Oryzias latipes: one gene and its partners. The main gene of each other region encodes a partner of the protein of the gene in region 3 in a complex. Links are inferred from orthologs where the notes say so. Each region holds a gene or a part of one and is shown on either strand. Other genes may lie near its edges.

Evidence for each region.
Region 1: bud13 (region 3) and rbmx2 share a complex: the UniProt entries of both Homo sapiens proteins name them as parts of the activated spliceosome. The link is inferred for Oryzias latipes from reciprocal best matches to the Homo sapiens genes BUD13 and RBMX2.
Region 2: bud13 (region 3) and snrpd3 share a complex: the UniProt entries of both Homo sapiens proteins name them as parts of the minor spliceosome. The link is inferred for Oryzias latipes from reciprocal best matches to the Homo sapiens genes BUD13 and SNRPD3.

Annotation. Positions count from the first base shown.
Region 1 is NC_019872.2:23,467,308-23,473,523, forward strand, and holds rbmx2 (RNA-binding motif protein, X-linked 2), read left to right. Parts: upstream 1-2,143; 5' UTR 2,144-2,246; coding exon 2,247-2,251; intron 2,252-3,785; coding exon 3,786-3,901; intron 3,902-3,983; coding exon 3,984-4,035; intron 4,036-4,103; coding exon 4,104-4,233; intron 4,234-4,308; coding exon 4,309-4,495; intron 4,496-4,564; coding exon 4,565-4,842; 3' UTR 4,843-5,052; downstream 5,053-6,216. Other genes in the region: ap4m1 (AP-4 complex subunit mu-1), read right to left, coding at 107-195, 1,293-1,350. UniProt on the Homo sapiens protein: Involved in pre-mRNA splicing as component of the activated spliceosome. As a component of the minor spliceosome, involved in the splicing of U12-type introns in pre-mRNAs.
Region 2 is NC_019870.2:16,127,636-16,134,039, forward strand, and holds snrpd3 (small nuclear ribonucleoprotein Sm D3), read right to left. Parts: upstream 4,074-6,404; 5' UTR 3,944-4,073; intron 3,157-3,943; 5' UTR 3,136-3,156; coding exon 3,010-3,135; intron 1,558-3,009; coding exon 1,365-1,557; intron 1,232-1,364; coding exon 1,167-1,231; 3' UTR 1,020-1,166; downstream 1-1,019. UniProt on the Homo sapiens protein: Plays a role in pre-mRNA splicing as a core component of the spliceosomal U1, U2, U4 and U5 small nuclear ribonucleoproteins (snRNPs), the building blocks of the spliceosome.
Region 3 is NC_019872.2:13,068,949-13,075,181, forward strand, and holds the start of bud13 (BUD13 homolog), read right to left. Parts: upstream 3,891-6,233; 5' UTR 3,862-3,890; coding exon 3,725-3,861; intron 3,584-3,724; coding exon 3,496-3,583; intron 3,095-3,495; coding exon 3,010-3,094; intron 2,933-3,009; coding exon 2,534-2,932; intron 2,231-2,533; coding exon 1,926-2,230; intron 1,842-1,925; coding exon 1,733-1,841; intron 1,581-1,732; coding exon 1,442-1,580; intron 1,361-1,441; coding exon 1,179-1,360; intron 1,034-1,178; coding exon 952-1,033; intron 1-951. Other genes in the region: uncharacterized protein LOC101171185, read right to left, coding at 5,137-5,234, 5,335-5,664, 5,755-5,791. UniProt on the Homo sapiens protein: Involved in pre-mRNA splicing as component of the activated spliceosome. As a component of the minor spliceosome, involved in the splicing of U12-type introns in pre-mRNAs.

The sequences.
Region 1 (6,216 bases), about 10 Mb from region 3:
CACGGAGTTTCAGAGTTTGTTAGCGTACACACGGCCCTTAAGGGCATCTAAACGTGCTCCATAAGAGCTGCAACAAATAGAAAAGTTCCGCTGGAGGACAGGTTACCATGACAACCGGAGGCTGGTCTCCAGGTAGCGCCGTGACCTTCTGGTAGAAAACGTTGACCACATCATCGTCCCCCGTCTCTCCGCGGACTGGAGCCAGGGTCAAGGTAGACTCAGACTCATGCCTGACGGATGCACTGAGGCGCATGTCCTCCAGAGCAGGGATGCTCCGCCTCTTTTCAGCCGTGGATCCCATTACTGGCTTTGTTTGCCCAAAGCAGCGAGAACAGAGAAGCTGTGGGTCGCTCAGGATGGGAGAAACGTCCAGTTTGAAGGATGTTCCCAGCAAAGACCCCCCCACCCCCAACCCAATTATCTGGTTATGATAAAAACCACCGTTATTATTGAAAACCTTTGGTGGACCGTGCATAACACACCTGGGCCTTCAGCAGTGCTACGTCTGAATCACTCAACCCCTCATGAACCAGCTCAAACTGTCAGCTTGACAGACACAGTGGACACGGGGAGGGTCACGATTCACTCAGATTTTTCTGATGGAGATCAGTGGGAGATTTTCCTGCTAAATCCTCCATGGAGTACATTACAGTCAGTCTGCTATAAACTGAGAGGGAACAGATCATTCTCCATGTCTCTGTGTCAAACTGGACAAGGAAGCATGTGACTTCCTGAAACTTCTGTCCAATCAGAGGGTCTGAATACTGTGACGCTGTCTAAGCCTGCTAGAAGGCCCTGCTGACACCAACTCAAAATCTGATTGGATGAGGGAAATTAATCTCCGACATTGATTTTGCATTAGAGGGCCTGCAGAACAGATAGTGAAGGCCTCTGTAGCTCTGACCCTGCCTGGCAACAAAGGAGAGCTGGAATGTGATTGGTTAAATGTTCCAATGTGAAAATACGTCTGGAAGCAGCATCACCATCATAAACACACTAAAAGAGGAATGGACAGACCATTTGGAATGATTTAATGAGAATGCATGGACGAACTCTAATTAACACATGATTCAGATAATTTTTAGGCCTTCAGAGAAGCCCATCACCATTGAAAATAACAACTTTAAAACACCTGTGTCTGACTGATGCAAAAAATGTACCCCAGATGGGCAAGTACAAGTACCCCTGCTAGAGTAAGTCTGTCCCAAAGGGGAGATCTTTCACTGTATAGCAGAACTGAACTTCAAAGCAGGATGATTTAAACAGAAGCAGGTGAGAGCTGAGAAGGATACAGTCTCTGAAGAGGAGGGGGTCGCCCTTCGAGGACAAGATGAAGAGCTGCCGGATCATCCTGCAGAGGATAGAGGACTGTCGGGGCAACAGTTCACCCCGGTGGGACAGCTAGGGGGAGTTTCAGTGCCACTGCAACATCTGCAGAAACAACATCTGCAGGAACACGTCCAAGTCTGTCTGCAGAACTGCAGTCAAGCCGAAATAAAGGAGAAAACCCCTGTTTATGGGGGAAATGACAAACAAGCAGCATCTCATATTCACTGCATGAAACTAGTTATTATGAGGAAAAAAATAAACTAACAATAAACAATCAGATTGTCTGGTGTGTGCTACTGTAGGTGTGCGTCACACATTAATCTCAAACGTGTTAAAGGTGACACTGAGTAAAGCGGAATAGGGTAAAGACAAGTCGAAGGAAAACTGAATTTACCTGAAAAGATGACACAGTTCAGACGTTTAAACTGAACTTTAAGTGTTTTAAAGCCATGCTAACGTGGAATTACAAATCATTTTCCAGTTCCACGTAAAATCTCCTGCAATGATGTCGACTCTAAGAAAGGGTGTTATTTAAACATTAAAAGCTTGAAAAACACAACACGCTTTAAAACGTCCACTGTCTGGTTTAAGTGTTGCATCCTGTTAAAAATGAACTGTTAGCTTGTTAGCGCCACCTGTCGTGCAGGCGGAAAGATTGGACGCTTGCTTTTTACAGACAGAACATTCAGCATTTCACAATTTCTTACAAAAATAAAATAAATACATTTCTTGTTTATTAAAAGCAGCATTCGGGCAGTGTTAGACGCTTCGCGTTCGCGCAGTTTTCTCGTTCATTTCATCTGTAGTTCGGTCATCCAACCACCAGGCGGCAGCACACGCAGAACCTCCACAGGAAGTGCACCACTTCTCCACGCTTGGTCTTTGGCACCATAACATCGCTGCTGTTCGAGCTCACCATGAAGTAAGTAAACGTTTCCCTCTACAGCCATTACATTAGTTTTTATTTTTCATTTGGTAGAGAATCCCTTTTCTGGTCGTTGGTTTCCTGTTGAGCGGATTCCAGCCGATAGCAGCAGGCTTTATGTTTCGTGTGTGTCGCCTTTTCCCCATTTCCATTCAAATTCTCCACTGTAGAACTTCAAAAACTTCTAAAAACTTCTAAAAAATCAAATTTGATTTTTTTAAACTTAATAGACCAGGTACTGAATAGCCACCTACTGAATTCGTACTTGCGTTTGATTGTATTTGCATTTTAGAGGTGTAACGATTGCATACCAATCAGTGGTTGTTGATGTGATTCAATCATTCGATAATTGTTCGTTTTATCCGATTCAGTGACCTAATGGATCCAGGACATCTTTATCCAAAACATCATCCAGTGTGACTCAGCGAGAAATACCTGCTACTGAAATGTGAAGTTTTCCAGATTCCTTAGATTTCTTCCAAGATAATCAAGTTTAAATTAAATATGTACAAACAAAGAATTAAAATCAAATCCATCCACATTTTAGTTTCCTGAAGTTCAGCCCACTGTTGTTTTTCCACATCCAAAGAATCCAAAGGGAACATTCTAGCACACTGTGTGGTCACATGACTTTCTAAATTCAGTTTTGGACTGGAATGATGGTTGATCAGTTTTTGATGAAATTACATGTTTTTTGTCTGCTGTAATGCACTCTGTTAATTTTGATTGTGTCTGAATTCCTTCAATACTCACTACCTAGGGGGCACTATGTAGTGCACTATATATTGCCCTATATAGTGCACAACATTCACCATGTTGTAGTGCTGTCCGAACCTACAATTTCAAAGTCGAGTGCCCTAGAAATTTCCCAGAAGTCTCTGCGAAAAAGCAGTGTGCATCGAGTGAATATAAACCACAATGCATTGCGTCGAACAGTTTTTGCAATTTTCTTTTTTTATGTTAGGGTGGGAACTTGGGGCACAGCCTTTATGTTATAGTAAAATGACCTCACCAGGTCTCAATCCAAACGGTGGTTTCCAATATCGATTCAATAGGCAGAGCTGAAGGTAGCAGAGATGAAGATGTTGAGGTTCTCTTTGGGAGAGACCAGGATGCATCAGGAATGAGTCCATCAGAGGAGCAGATCATGGTTGATATTTGGGACATGAATGCAGATGGAGATGGTTTGGAGGAGCAGCAGTGATGATGCTGAGGTTACAGAAACCAGGAAAGAGGCCTAGCGGAAGACCACAGAGGAAGTTCATGGATGAAGAGGAGGGCATGAGGGTTGTTGGTGGGGACGATAGAGGAGAGAGCTGGATGATTAATGTAGCAACTAAGAGACAAAGAAGATATGGTTGAAATCTTCATAATGTTCATTATGTTGAGATGGTGCATAAAAAAATAAATTGATGAAACATGAATATTAGAAAGCTGACCTTCAGGTTTATTTCACTTTGTTTAAATGAACAGAATCTTGACTGCTGTCTTCTAAAACACTGAAAGTTTCCTGCCGGTTGATTTGTTTCAGTCCTCTGACGAAGGTGAAGCTGATAAACGAGCTGAACGAGCGCGAGGCCGACCTCGGGGTCAACGAGAAGGTGTCGTGGCACAGCGAGTACCGGGACAGCGCCTGGATCTTTGTGGGTGAGGGGGCGGAGCTTCTCACAGGAACCTGCAGTAAATGAAGCGTGAAAGCAGGTGGTTGACGTCTGTTCTGATCCTGCAGGAGGCTTCCCCTACGAGCTCACAGAGGGGGACCTGCTCTGCGTCTTCTCTCAGTACGTACCCACAGCCTCGCTTTGGGGTGGGGTGGGGGCACACACCGCTTACTGATGTGTCCGTTCAGGTACGGTGAGATCGTCAACGTCAACCTGGTGCGCGACAAGAAGACGGGAAAGTCCAAAGGCTTCTGCTTCATCTGCTACGAGGACCAGCGCAGCACCATCCTGGCTGTGGACAACTTCAATGGCATCAAGGTGAGGCCCCCACCCCCCACCCGGGGCGGCGCCACTGTGAGCATCCTTAATGATGAAGCTCTTTCTCCCCTCCAGATCAAAGGACGCACCATTCGCGTAGACCACGTAAAAAACTACCGCCCCCCCAAAGACGGCGAGGACATCGATGATGTCACCAAACGCTTGAGGGAGGATGGCTGCGCCCCCACGGGCCCTGCCGCCCCCCCGTCCTCCTCTGAGGATGACGAGCAGCTCGTCATACCTGTGAAAAAACCCAAAAAAGGTGAGGTCACTTCCTGTTCTGTCATTTATGAGGGGGAGGGTCAGTTTCACCTGTACTCTTCTGCTGCAGACAAAAAAGAGAAGAAGAAAAAGAAGAAGGAGAAGAAGAAGAGCCGAGCTTCCTCCTCCTCACCTCCCATCCGAGTCAAAGAAGAAAAACGAGACACGGCGTACGACAAGTACGCCACGGGGGGGTCACAGAACGGACACAATGAGACGGAGAGGAGGAGGGAGGAGAAGAGGAGAGACAGAGATGTGGAGAGTAAGAGAGAGACTGAACGAGAGAGGGAGGACAGAAGGAGAGGAGAGAAGAGGAGAGAGGCGGACAAGGAGAGCTCCAGAAGATAGATGGAGGAGTAAAGAGAGGAGAATGATACATTCTCTCCTCAGCAGAAGAGCTCCCCCTGCTGGCTGACATCCTCCTGTAAACAAAGCTTCCATGAGAAGCCTTTTTTTGTACAGATATTTGTAAAGTTTGTCTTAAGTGTTAAAAAACAAGTTTGTCTTCTGGGCGATGATTTAAATAATTGATTTATTAAAAAAAATTCAAACAGCAAATTTGATTCTCTTTTGAAAACGTTTCAGAATTCACTAAAGCTTAAGGAGCATTTAAATAAAGACATTTGGAGAACAGAATTATTTATGTGTATCAAGCCTGAAGGGATCCAGAAAACTTCAGACATTGACTGTTTACAAGAACTGGACTGAGTGACCCCTCCCCCTGGCATTTTACCATTGGTCAGAATGACTATTTGATGCTTTGAACACATTTTGGCTTATCATTTTTTTTTTACTAAATAGTTTTCTCTATTGCAAGTTATAAACTGACCAAATAGATGCATCTGTGAGAGTAGGAGTGCGGCCTGCCAACAAGCTCACTACTGATTGGCTAGGGTGTTCGCCATAGAAATGTTGAATCAGACCAACTCTTACTGACGTCTGACTCCAACATAGTTGGGTCCAGACCGTGAAAAACTGAACCGGCTTCATTTGGTTGGAGCCGGATGTAAGCAGTTTTCTGTGGGTGACATCACACTCACTCGCTCATACCCCTTGTGCTATCTTAGATGACCCCACCCTTACATTGACGTGTTCTCCCTACCATGACAAAGGTGGATAAAGGTGGAAAGATTTCATGTAATCCATGGACACCAGTGAAGATCACAAATCATTGAAGAAAAAAGGTTCAGAGCACCGTCTAGTGGGTCTAGATCAGTGTTTTTCAACCTTTTTTGAGCCACGGCACACTTTAACCTTAAAAAAAAAAATTCCGCGGCACACCAGCATTCAAAAATTAAAAAAAAAGGAGAAACTCAGTCTTTATTGATCTACAGCCCCTCCCTCCACAGTCTCACATGCATTTTTGAGATAATTGTTACAGAAAAAGCTGGAAACTGCAGCTGTTTTTTTTCCTAAAAGATGCAATAAAAGTTAAGTTAGAAGATTTAAAAACAGTTTGATGTGTGTTCGTTGGTTTCAAGACGTTTAACAACAGATCTCCTTGTGCGCTGTCACTCTCACAACCCAATGCATCATGGGAGATGTAGTGCATAAAACGGCCGGAGATCGGATTTCGGAGCTTCATTGTTTTGTTCACTTGTTCCACGGTCTGATACCGGATTCTGTGGAAAGCTACAGCGCTAAAGACGAGCTTTAGCTGGAATTTTTGTTAGAACTGAGCGACTTTACGAGCTCAATCGGGACAAGGAAGTGAAGACTTTA
Region 2 (6,404 bases), on a different chromosome or scaffold from region 3:
GGACACGTCAAGGGAGACGGCGCGACTCTGACGTTTACCACAAAACATTGACACTTAAAAAAAACATAGCAACAAAATAAAAGGTTTGTTTTAAATCTTACCTTGAAGTGGAATTTCTGTCCCGTAAGCCGGAATATTGAAACGCCTTTTTTCCTCAGCTAAGGTTTAGCTTCTGCGAGCTAGCTAGCTGTTGAGGAGGCGTAGCAGATGTTATGATGGATGAAGCGAGCTGAAGCGCTCAGGTCCTGAGCTCCAGGGAAGGCGACAGTGTTTTCAGATTTAGCCGAATATCCACTGAAAATCCACTAAGGCTTTCGAAATCGCCTTTTCACCCTTTCGTTTATCTCGCCACTTCCATAAAATTCACTTCATGGTTTTTCTACTAATACTTTGGTAGCCGGAACACTCCCCCTTGTGTTGTCAAGTAAAACAGACATTTCCTATTTTATCTGCATTTTATCTAAAAAATTTTTGCTGGCGTTAATAGAATTCCAGGAAATGGAGAATTAAAAAAAACGTATGGATACTGATTGAATTAAAAATATTTTGGGGCTATATTTGTGATATTATGAAGGGGGGTTGGGGGTCAAGTTTATGAAGCTTTTTATTTTAGTTATTGTTTAGGGATACATTTTTAAAGGCAAAGATTTTTTTAGGGTTCTGAACCTTACACAGGGAAAAAACTGCTATAAAGAGCATCTTTCTAATCTTTTTAAAATCGTTTTAATGCAAAAGTTAAAAAAAGTTATTTGACATTTGCAAAGCCAAATATTTTTACCTCCGTTATTCATATATTTGAGCTTTTGCAGTTATTTCTAAAATGCAAACAGCAAGCTAGTTTTTTTTTTTCAAACTACCAAATTTACTTTACTTTTAAAAGTTTAAAAACTAATTCTGCTCAAGAAATCTAACTTGCACCTTGAACGGAAAAATGTACTGCTTTTAAATAAAAAAGAAATTAGATAGTCAGCATGTCAAACAAGTACAGGAATAATAAAAACAAGACAAAAGGGATATTAATTTAAGACATTTTGAAACATCTTTTATTTTTGTTTAAAAAAAAAAGAAAAATTCAAGAACTAACTTGCAAAGACAAGATTGCAAATAACAGACAAGTCATTCAAGTAAACGACATGAGAAAAAATAAAAACATTGAAAAGGAAAAGCTATCGTCTCTTCTGGAAAATGTTGCCTCTTCCCATTCCACCACGACCTCTGCCTCTTGCAGCCACTGCAAAGGGAGACAACAAATTCAGAAATAATTCAGTAAAAAAAAAAAAAAAACAGCATTCAGGAAGCAGGGTGTACCAAGAATAAGGAAAAGTGGACACACCATTTATCAGCATTGGTTAGGAACCACTCACCTTGTGCTTTCAGAATGGCCGCTTTGCCTCTTCCTGCTCCAGAACCCTGGTTCTTGTTCTTCATACTCTTTAACATTGGAGCGTTCTTTAACATGTCTGGTAAGATCAGAAAGCGGATCTTGCTGCCACGAATGTACACTTGTTCCAGCTGGGCAACCCGCCCGTCACGATAGGTTACTGTGATGTTGGACATCTGTTGGGACATAGAAATAAATGGTTCCGGTCTTAGATTCGTAAAATGGCTTGATACACGTTTACAGTGTTCAATGGAATGCAGGTTAACATTTTAAGTTATCTGTTAAACTTGGCAATGCAGTTCTCTATTTGAAAACACATTTGTAGATACTTCATTTAATCCCTTAAAATAATTTCTAACAACCTTTTTGATTTGTCATTTGATTAATAAGAAATCTACAATTATTAACAGAATATACGTTTTAGAATATTTAGCGTTTTGTTAAAGCCTTCACACTTATCTTTAGAGTACTTTTAAGACACACTGAGCTTTATCCACCAAAATTTCTGCTTTTAAATGAAATAAACAGATTTGGAGTCTATTAAACTTTTACTGCACTAATGAAGCTTGAAAAGACTATCAGCATTGACAGGATGTTTGGGAAATATATTTAGTTACAGTACTCAATACTTTAAGAAAAATGGCTTTAAATATTTCAAGGACAAATGTGCATATATGACCAGATAACTATACAGATTTTTTTAGGGGGGGGGGGTGAATTGGGTCAGTTAATAGAAAGAACACAACTTAAATTTACAAAATAAAATAAAATTGTTATTCCAGATTTGTTTGTTACAGATGTGCAACCAAAACTAGAGACCCAAAAAAAACAACAAAAAAACAAAGGTCATAAAGGCAACCTGTCCCAAAACTTTAAAATAATCCAACATAATTTCCTTTTTCCACACAGGGCCGTTTGGTTTCTTAGTGCTGTGTTTCTATTTACTTCCAACGGTAATGATAAATCATTTATGGTTTTTGTTTTTCCCTACAGGTCACTGACCTGATGCATATTAGTAAAAGGGAGTATGTTTTGTTGACTGTAAAAGCACCATTGATCTCATTGAGTAATTAAGTCACTACATCAATCAATCATACGTTACACACGTGTGGTTGGCTGAGATTTTGAGGGACAAAGAAACCGGGAGAGATTTTTCTTCGAAGAGGAGTAACCGATTTGTCTTTCGCTACAAACATGTTGAACAACTGTTTTTTAAAAAAAAAAAAGAAAGAAAGAAAGTATAACATGAGTTTGTCTCACCGCAATTGTTTTACTAAAATACTACATTCTCAACAAACCTACTCAAATAGTTCTACATCACCTGCTTGTTATAATTGGTAGATTCTAGACTTATTCCTGTGAAAGCAAAAAAAACAAATGTGCAAGTCTAAATAAGAGTTGGTGCAATAAACTGCATTAAAATACCTTTGGCATTTTTGTTTCCAAAAAGTATGTGAAATAAAAGGGGGGGGGGGCAGCCAACAATAAAATGTCCATTAAAAAAACATTCTTGTGTTCTTTACACATTTAAAATGTTCTTCTCAAGTGTGGTACAGTGAGTTGAACTCTAAATAGAAATTTACGGCATGCTTTTTTTTTTTGGGGGGGGGACGTTACTCCATACAAACCTGGCAGTTCATGTTGTCTTCAGCCTCGATCAGTTTGCCCCTGTAAACCTCTCCAGTGTTGGTTTCACAGGTCACAATGTGTCCCTCTGCTTCATGCAGGACCTTGATTGGTACGCCAATGGACATTTTGGAAACGGTCTTTCTAGGCTATTAAATTAAAAAAAAAGACAAAACATACGGTAAAGGGCACTGAAACATACAGTATTATCACAAAACCTGACGTACGGTATTGTCTTTGTTTACAGAAGGCTACTGAAAGTCTACAACATGCAATTCATTCATCCAATTTTATGATTATTATGTTTGCATGTGTCTGGCTTGGAAGTAATATTTACTGTTAGAACATACTTAAGACTTGTTTTGTGCTGTAAATAAGGTAATTTACACCCACAAAAAAAAACGTACAAAAAAGGCACTTAAGTATAACAATGTTTCCATTATCATTAGCTAAGCTACCTCGTTAGTGATTTATTTCTTGTACTGTTTATCAAGACGGTATTATTTCTACGTAGAGAAATCAAGTGCTGCAGAAAACTCTTCAGTTTTGGATTACACAGTTTAATCAGGTAAATGTTCGGGATTACTTTTAAAACGTAGTAACGCTAATGGCTAGCTTAGCTAGCCACGTTAGCTAACTAGCCACCAACTACTGGCCTCAAGCGAAACAAAACATTAATTAAAAACTGTGGGAAGTAAACCACCACAATATATTTAACGTTAATGCTTCACACCCAACATTGTTGGGACTCAAACGTGCAAATTATTTTAGACACAAGCTAAATATCAGGCATGGATGGAGCGATGGACATATTCGAAACTTAGCAAATGGGAGGCAATGTAGACAAAAAGCGATAATTCTGAATCACATTCACAGCTAAATACCAACCACAATATAATACTTGCTAGCTTTAGTAGCTAGGGTTTAAAGTCTTACTTCAACTCCCTTTGAATTCTTGAATTGTTGTTCTTTTTAGCGGCTCAGCAACGTGGGCTAGTCGTTGAGCTTGGCGTTTGAGCCTTTTTTCCGCTTACCCACAATGCACCAACAAAGCGTTTGTTTCCTGTGGCGCTTTTCGCCGTGCATTATGGGACATGTAGTTGATTCTGATTACCTAAACCAGGTGTGTTAGGTCAAACAGAATGTAGACTCACTTGAGTCAGCCAGTTACCAGAAAGATGGTTAAGGAGAAACAACAACAACAATAATAATAATAAGTGTTATTATTTTTTGTACTATTATTATTCTTTTTTAGTAGTATTGGAAGTAGTAGTAATAGTAAATAAAAACTAATTTTCATCAAAAGGCCTCAGAGAGGTCCAGGAATACCAATCATTATAGGACATTGGACTTTCAAACAAAAATAGAAATCATGAAACGTTAACAGATTAAAAATGTACACAATAAAAAATGACTTGTTTATTTGTCCTGAATTAGATTAACATGAATTTAATTTGATGATTACTCATTGGAAAAAATCAACTATAATGGAACACTGGATAGATATTTGTAAAAATATTTTATTGATTCCTTGCAGTGGTGCATGTTTTTTTTCCATAATCCTCCTCACTATGTTTTTTCTCTTTTCCTTATTTGTTTTATGTGAAAGATTTGAATCCCGAACACGTGTATAGCTGGCACATATGCTTGTCAAAACATCCCAGCAAGAAGAGATTATGAAAATGAAACGACTCAATCAATTCAAATGGATTTTTTTCATCGACCACAGAGAGCTATAAACATTTACTCTACATAGTTTTTGAATGAACAGACTTTACGTATCATATACATACCCTTGCGTGTTTATTTATGTGGACTAGTCTTTTTTACCACTTCAGTGAGACGCATAAACATTGCTTAATGCGGGGCTTTCTCACGCTGGAAGAGGTTTCTAATGAGGAAAGACAAAGCATAATGGGATAATAAAAGACATCACCAAATGAACCATCATTTGATTTCCATTGCAACAGGGTCATTGACTGGCGTCAGCAGACAGGCTACTCTGTAAACACCTGTACCTGTGCAGCGTGTGGTCATGTGTATCTACTTTACGTGTCCATGAGGGTTTCAGGCGTTTAATGCATGCTAACCTGACTCTGAACGTAGTTCCAGTCCAGCCATGAGCAGTGACATTTGCAGAGATCAAACAAGCACTTGTTTTGGGTGGATGCTAACAGGCCTGTTTACACTGATGCCTTTGAATCATGTCACTTAGATGTTGATCTGGGTTGTCAGCTTTTGTTGCCAGGCAATTATCCAATTGCTGATCAAGCAAGCAAAAGGATTTACTTAGAGGTAAACACTTTGTAGGGGAAAGTGCACACCTATAGATTGTACTCAGACTACATTCGTTTCCTCAGCTGTTGCAGACAGCCGTTACAACAAATAGCACGGATCAAAAGAAAGCTGTATGTCATGTGGAGTGTGTAAAACTTCTCATTTTGCTTTTTGACATTTTACTTCATGAATCGCCATAGTAAATCTTGTCAAATCTTCTTTTAACCCTTGTGTTATCTTAGATGACCCCACCCTTACTTTGACATGTTCTCCCTACCATGACAAAGGTGGATAAAGGTGGAAAGATTTCATGTAATCCATGGACACCAGTGAAGATCACAAATCATTGAAGAAAAAAGGTTCAGTGCACTGTCTAGTGGGTCTAGATGACCCAACTCCCAATGTTAAATTGCCTAGGATAGCACAAGGGTTAAATGGTGGCACAGATAAAAACTTGTTTTTTTTCCCGGTTGTTTGTTCACATTTAGCAAGACAATTACACAGCTATCAAGGATTTAGGGATCTTCAGAGATGTTATGTTGGAGATTTTGATCCAGACTTTAGATGGGTCCCTTCAAGACAAAACTCTTCTTCACACTCTTGGTATGATGTTGCTGTCTGTTTACAAGATAAACTTCAACCATGACCACATTGAAAATGGTAAACAGTATATGTACATACTAATATAGTGCTTTACTACCTTCCTTAAAGGCATTTTACAGTCACAGTCCCATTCGCACGTACAGTAACACTCACTGGCACCAATCCACAACCACCAGGAGAGATGTGGGGTTCAGTGTCTTGCCCAAGGTGGGAACTGAACCTGTGATCTTACAATCAAGTATCAAGTTATTTAATTGAGAAACAAAGTTTGAAATATTCCTATAACAGACTAAATGATAAAATAAACGAATAATTTGCAAAATATTGTGAAAGTAAAAAATATAAACCCACTGTGTACTTTTTTCAGATTTGGAACATGTTAGTTTGTAATGTGTCCCGCAAACACCTTGAACCTGAAGTATGTGCAGTCAGCAGAAGCACAGTAGGGAAAATGGTAAAAAAAATAAAATACATCTTTGAGAAATTAGAAGCAAACGAGAAAAAAATTTTACAAGCG
Region 3 (6,233 bases):
AGGGCAAAAAAAATTAATCATAAACACAGAAGAGTATTTTCTGTTCTTACCAGGTGGCTACCTAATTTGTAAAACCTGCTGTAGAAACATTCTCAAATGTTATTGTATTGAATCCTTATTCTCTGTAAAATATTTGCAGCTGGTTTAAACTTAGACTTTGTTCAGGATCCATTAAAATGTGATGTAAATTTTCACTTAAACTCCAAAATGGAGGCTAACATCTGAGTGCCAACGTCAGCCGCATCTTCAAGGTGTGCCAAACAAAAAACACTAAATGAAATGACACAACTGTCATGAAACTGGCATTTTCTACACGCAAAATGCAAAATGTGAATCCATTGTGTTTGCAACTTTTTTAACAGCGTATGTGTAACTTTAGAGTCAGTCAACGCATATTATGCAAAGTGGGCTTTGTAGGTGGGAACAACTATCGCAATGAATCCATATTTGGAGGAAGACTCCTGGTTTTATCTGTAAATAATTGATTTTACTTTGAAGTCAAAAACTCTTCCTTCATTTTCTCAATGGCTTCTTTCTCTCCCACAAAAAAACTTTCCAAAGATGTTTTTTCTTATTAACTTAGTTACCTTTTTATTAAGAGGTCGGAGAAGCCGCTTTAAGAAGGTAGTGGATGTATTTTCGATGCGCGAGTGAACAAGAGTATAGACACATGTGGCAAATTGAATCAAGTAGTTTTCCAAAATAAAACTACTTTCAGAATAAAAAATAAAAAAAGGAAATAATCTAAGTTACTATATGTAATTTTTTTGTCTGCAGCCTGGTACTAAGTGACCCCATGAATGGATACAGTCCGCGTCTCGGGAACTGGGGACCACTGCTACATAGTGAAAATACCTAAAACTGTGATCATCACAACTGCAAAACTAAAACATTGCAGAAGAGCTGAAAAGTTGACAAGCAGCATCCCATGAGGTTTTTCTTCAACTGTACCTGTCCACTCCATCCCAACGGTAACCGGGAGGAATGTTGAAACGGTTTGGGGGTGGCGTAGGTCCATTGTAGCGAGGTTTGTCTGGAAACAGTAAGAAAATTTTAAATGAATCATGTAAAACTGCAACTGAGATATTTGCTGTACTTGAAGTACTAATGCCCAAATTTTTCCATCAGAAGAGTAAAAAAAAAAAAAAAAGTACAAAAACTTGTAGAATGTTTCAAACCTTGTGTTTTTGAGCTTTTTTCCTTTTTCCGCCGAAGCATGGCAGCCATGGGATCCCCGTCCCTCTCCTGCTCCCTCAACATGCGGTCCAGATCTTCGTCGTCACGGTGACGGGCCAAGGGCTTCTGGGCTTCCAGCAGGGCGTCCTCCAGCTTCTGCTGCTCCATCTGATTCTGAGCCAGCCTAAACACAAACAATAACTTGTCTTCTTACATGTGGTGGAAGTAGCATTTTCAGTGACTTGGTATGGTTTTGTGGATTTACCCTTTACCCCACTGGGCATATTTTTCATCTTTTGCAGCCTTTTCTCCTGCTTTTCTCTTCTGCTCCTCCCTTTCTGAGGTCAAATCCCTCCTTTTGCCACTTTTGTCTCGGAAGACCGTCTCCGCATTACGAGATTCATCTGATGCGTAAATAGTATAAATAGTATAAAAACACTTTCATATACCGGTACTTCAGAAATATAGAAAGTCTAAAGTTATACGATAAGAAAAGGGTTGTTTCAAACTCTCTTTTTTTTTAAAAGTAAAACTGAAAAACAAAAGCAAGGCCAACCTTCAAGAGGTTGATTCTTTTTTTCTCTGCGTCGGTTTTCCTTTTGCTCTTCCCTTAGAATCTCCACAGATACCAAACCAGCCTTTCCTCCGGAAAGCATCCTGTGGTCCTGAAAAACACACAAAAATATTAGATGGGGTTTGTGCTGCAAATTAGGTTTCACACGAATCCCTGAACAGCGCAGATCCCTCACATGAGACTGGCCAGGTCTCCGTGGTGGTGACAGATCTCCATCCGAGTCCTTTCCACTCCTCGAGTGCTTTCTTGGTGGAGACTGGTCGGAATCGGATCTCTGCCTTGTTCTGGAGCGTCTCCGAGGGGGAGACTGGTCAGAGTCGGAAGCTTCTCGCTTCGATTGCTTTTTCCGTGGAGGAGATTGATCGGAGTCTGAATCCAGCCTAACCTTAGTCTTATGAGCTAAAGGAGACCGCCGATCATCTGGCGACCTTGGTTTACCGTGTAACGATGAGCTGGGCTTCCTTCTAGTGGGAGAAGACTCTGAGAATCAAAGAGAATGTTTGCACTATATATATTAGAGTGCAGAGAGCAAAACTAGTAATCCTAATATGAAATAGAAAAAAATAAATGTGTTTTACATAAACATTTTATTGTGTCAATATAACTATTGATATTTTTAGTAACTACTATAACCCAAAAATCTAAGAGGTTCCAGCTTTAAGCTTATTCAATGCTTAAATGGCATTGGTATGCCGTTTTCAGCTTTTTCAGTGACTTGTGCAAAATGAGCATTGTTCTGTATAAAAGCAAGAAAGAAAATCTTAACTGTAAAATAAAACTCACCTTTACTTTTAACTTTCCCAGACTTCCTTAAATGTTGCCTTGAAGGAGACTTGCTGGGAGAGTCATGGCGTCCTCTGCTAGGAGGAGATTTATCCGGAGAGTCATGGCGTCCTCTCCTAGGAGGAGATTTATCCGGAGAGTCATGGCGTCCTCTCCTGGGAGGGGATTTATCCGGAGAGTCATGGCGTCCTCTCCTGGGAGGGGATTTATCCGGAGAGTCATGGCGTCCTCTCCTAGGAGGAGAAATGTCTGGAGAGTCGTGTCTTGGTTTTTTGAAAGGGGAACCATGTCTCCCACTTTTCGATGACAGCTCTGGTGAGTCATGCCGACTTTTTTTAGATGTTAAAGGCTCCTCCTGCTCATTTTCTTCGTCAATTGTTTTGTCTTCGTCTTCATCCGCTACAGAACAACACAGTTAATATGAAAAACAACATAATTTAAAAGAAGCCAAATTTATATACTGCTTTTATAGTTACCCCCAACTATTTTCCATCTGTTACTGGTCCTAAAGGCCTCCATCTGTTTCACCTCTTCTGGCCGCTCATCGATGAACTCTGCAATCTGAGAAGGTAAATCAAAGTACAAAATTTAGGTTTCCTTGGCTTTAAAACTTTAATGTACATAACATAGACCAAATCAAATCATTATTTACTCTGTTCAAACATCTGTGTTGACTGCTTCACACACAATGCAAGTTTCCCACATATTTCATTCAAACCAATGTGTCAAATCTATCTTGCATCGATTATCCTGCATTAAAGCAGATCAATTCAATCTCACGTCAGATGAAATTCCTGTGTTACGTCTGGATTTACATTTCAATAATGTTAACAAAAAAGAAAGACATACATTTTATTATCATCAAATCAAATATCGCCATCAGACTTTCATGCGTGTAAAAGTTAAACATAGTAGACCGTACTGCGGGGGAAATGCTAACGCAAGGCTGCTAGCTAACTCACCACCGGAGCTTCCTCTTCATCCTCTTCGACATCCGGCTGCTGTTGGACCATTTGTCTCCAATCAATATCATCGTCTACTATTTTAAGTCTAGATAAAAACAACGAAGTAACACAAAATAAAAACGATTAAACTCATAGAAACAAAGTTCCAAATCAAAAATAGCTTAGCATAAGGAAACTAGCTTGGATGCTAACAGAAAGCCAAACGGCGCAGTATTTCGGTACTCACCTTGTTTCAGGAAGCTTTTTTCGTTTCTTCTTGCCTTTTCCTTTAGATGCACCATGGTTGTCGTCAGCTGATAAATACCGCTTTAAGTACTCAGCTTTAGAAAGCTCGGGTCCGGTTCCACCACCGACCGCTGCCATCTTTGTATTGTGGGAAACTACGGGTCGCGTCAAGGGTCAATGTAGACGACGAGGAAGAAGACGCGTTTCTGTATTATTATTATTATTATTATTATTATTATTATTATTATTATTATTATTATTATTATTATTATTATTGTTATTATTGTTATTATTATTATTATTATTATTATTATTATTATTATTATTATTATTATTATTATTATAACAAAAAAGTTACTGTTATGCATAAATAAATACATTGAAGATAAAGTTGACTCCAAAGAAGTTAAAAATGATAACTACTGGGCCACAATCTGCTGCAAGACTGTGTCTGTGGTGGGACCCAGTGACTGGCATACAAATAATGACTGTCACCAAAAAGGCTAAAATTGCCTGATTTCCCTAATTGACCCACAAATTTAGTCGGTCATACACCGATGCCTAGAAAGACAGGAGAGCAATGTTTTTGAATTGTAAAAGTCTTTACTCTTCTTTGCATACGATTTCAATTCTTGTTCTTATTTTTTTATTTGTCGATCATTTTTTTTACACTAAAACTTTTTCAAAAATATAGGCCGTCACTACTTGCTTTTTATAACAGAGACAAAAAGACCTAAATATTGTCCCTGTTACATGTCATGTCCAATATGTAGAGACAGATTAAATGTCATGGGTTATTGTTTATCTAAGACAGTAATAACCAGCTGCTGGTCTAGTATGATTTCCATGAATGACAATGCATTTAGGCTCCATTGAGAAAATGTGACATTTCCAAATACTGGTATTTATCTGTCAACAGTGTTCTTTGATTTATGATTTAAAAAAAACAACAAAAACAAACAAACACACAAAACAATTATATTTGTTCAATCATAAATGAAATGATTACAAGCAAATTCACAGAGCTCTTCTTTTATTAACAAGCAAACAAGAACACAATCAATTTGCTGCTTTTGCAGTGAGGAAAAGGCCACAAAAACTATTAGTGCTTTTTAATGTAAAAGAAAAGAAAACATAAAATCAATAATACCTCATTAATAAGTCAGCAACTGCATCTCTTAGTCTGCCATTAGACTGTCTCCCTCGACGAAAAAGCTGCACTTTCATTTCTACTAATGGTTAATTTACATTCAGTACTCACAGCTCTCAGCTCCTAAACATTTAAATCGTCTACAGTGGAAACATTTACCAGTGTTTTTTACAGAAGGAAGAGAGATCTATTCTGTGACAGAAGCGAAAGTGCTTAGCTTAGTGAGTATCTGCAAAAGCCTGACTGTTCTCTTCTCAGTGCCATCAGCTGTCATTGTGATGAAGGAAAAAGACCAGGCAGCCAATCAAGAACCAGGATCTCTGCAGAAACACGCTCACTGCTGAGCATGGCACCAGGGAATCTGTAAAGAGGGAAATTATTGAAGCACACCAAAAATCTATCGAAAAATTCTGCCAGCTTTTGGTTAACACTCATTCCCTTCAGCTCTTCAGTCCACCCACCTTTCTCCACTGTGATTTGTTTCATTTCCCCATATATTTTGCACATGTAGGTGGTGTTGGGTGGGAGCTTGTCTTTGAAGTCAGACAGGGTCATCCTGTAGCCGTGAGGCTCCAGTTCCACCACTTGGCTTTTATCATTAAACTGAGCCTCGGCTTTAGACCCAGACACATTGGTGTTGATTAAAACCTCCTTGGTTCCCGAGGACCATGAAAACTCATAGCTGTTGATTTTGTTAGGAGCTGGCTTGATCATACAGTCTACTCTCAGGTCTTCATCATCTTCAACACATACAGAGATCTGATCTGGTTGGACTGGCAGCAACAGCAGCGCTAGAGACAAGAACAAAGAACATTTATACAGAAACAAGCTTGATTTTATGTGTGATTTTATTTCAGACACCTTCAGCTTTGTGTTCTTACCTCCCACCATTCCATAAACAAACAGGGACTTGATCATGATGGAGAAAGGGCCATTCAACTGAAAACAGAAGAAAACAACATAAAGAACAAACTGTTGTTGTGACACAGCAAGTGAGTGCACACAATAGAAGTGGGTAAATGGGAAACAAAGCTATTTATTGCACAGGTGGATTAGAAAGGGGTAATTTATAGCTCCAATAAAGCAAAAAACAAAACAAAAATAGTGAAACTGCCATGAATGTGCTCTGAATCTAAAACTTAATCTTTATGTGACCAAAACAAATGTCAAAACAAGATTCAGACTGTCTCAACTTTGATTTTGTTTTGTCTCCTCTCACACGGTTCTGTGGCAAAGACTAAAGTCACAACCTAAATATGTCATTTCATTTAGTATTGACCAATCCTTATTGTTATAAAATTCCTTCTGTTTATTATTTCCATTTGGCCACATGTTTTAGAATAATCCTTGCAATCTGGAT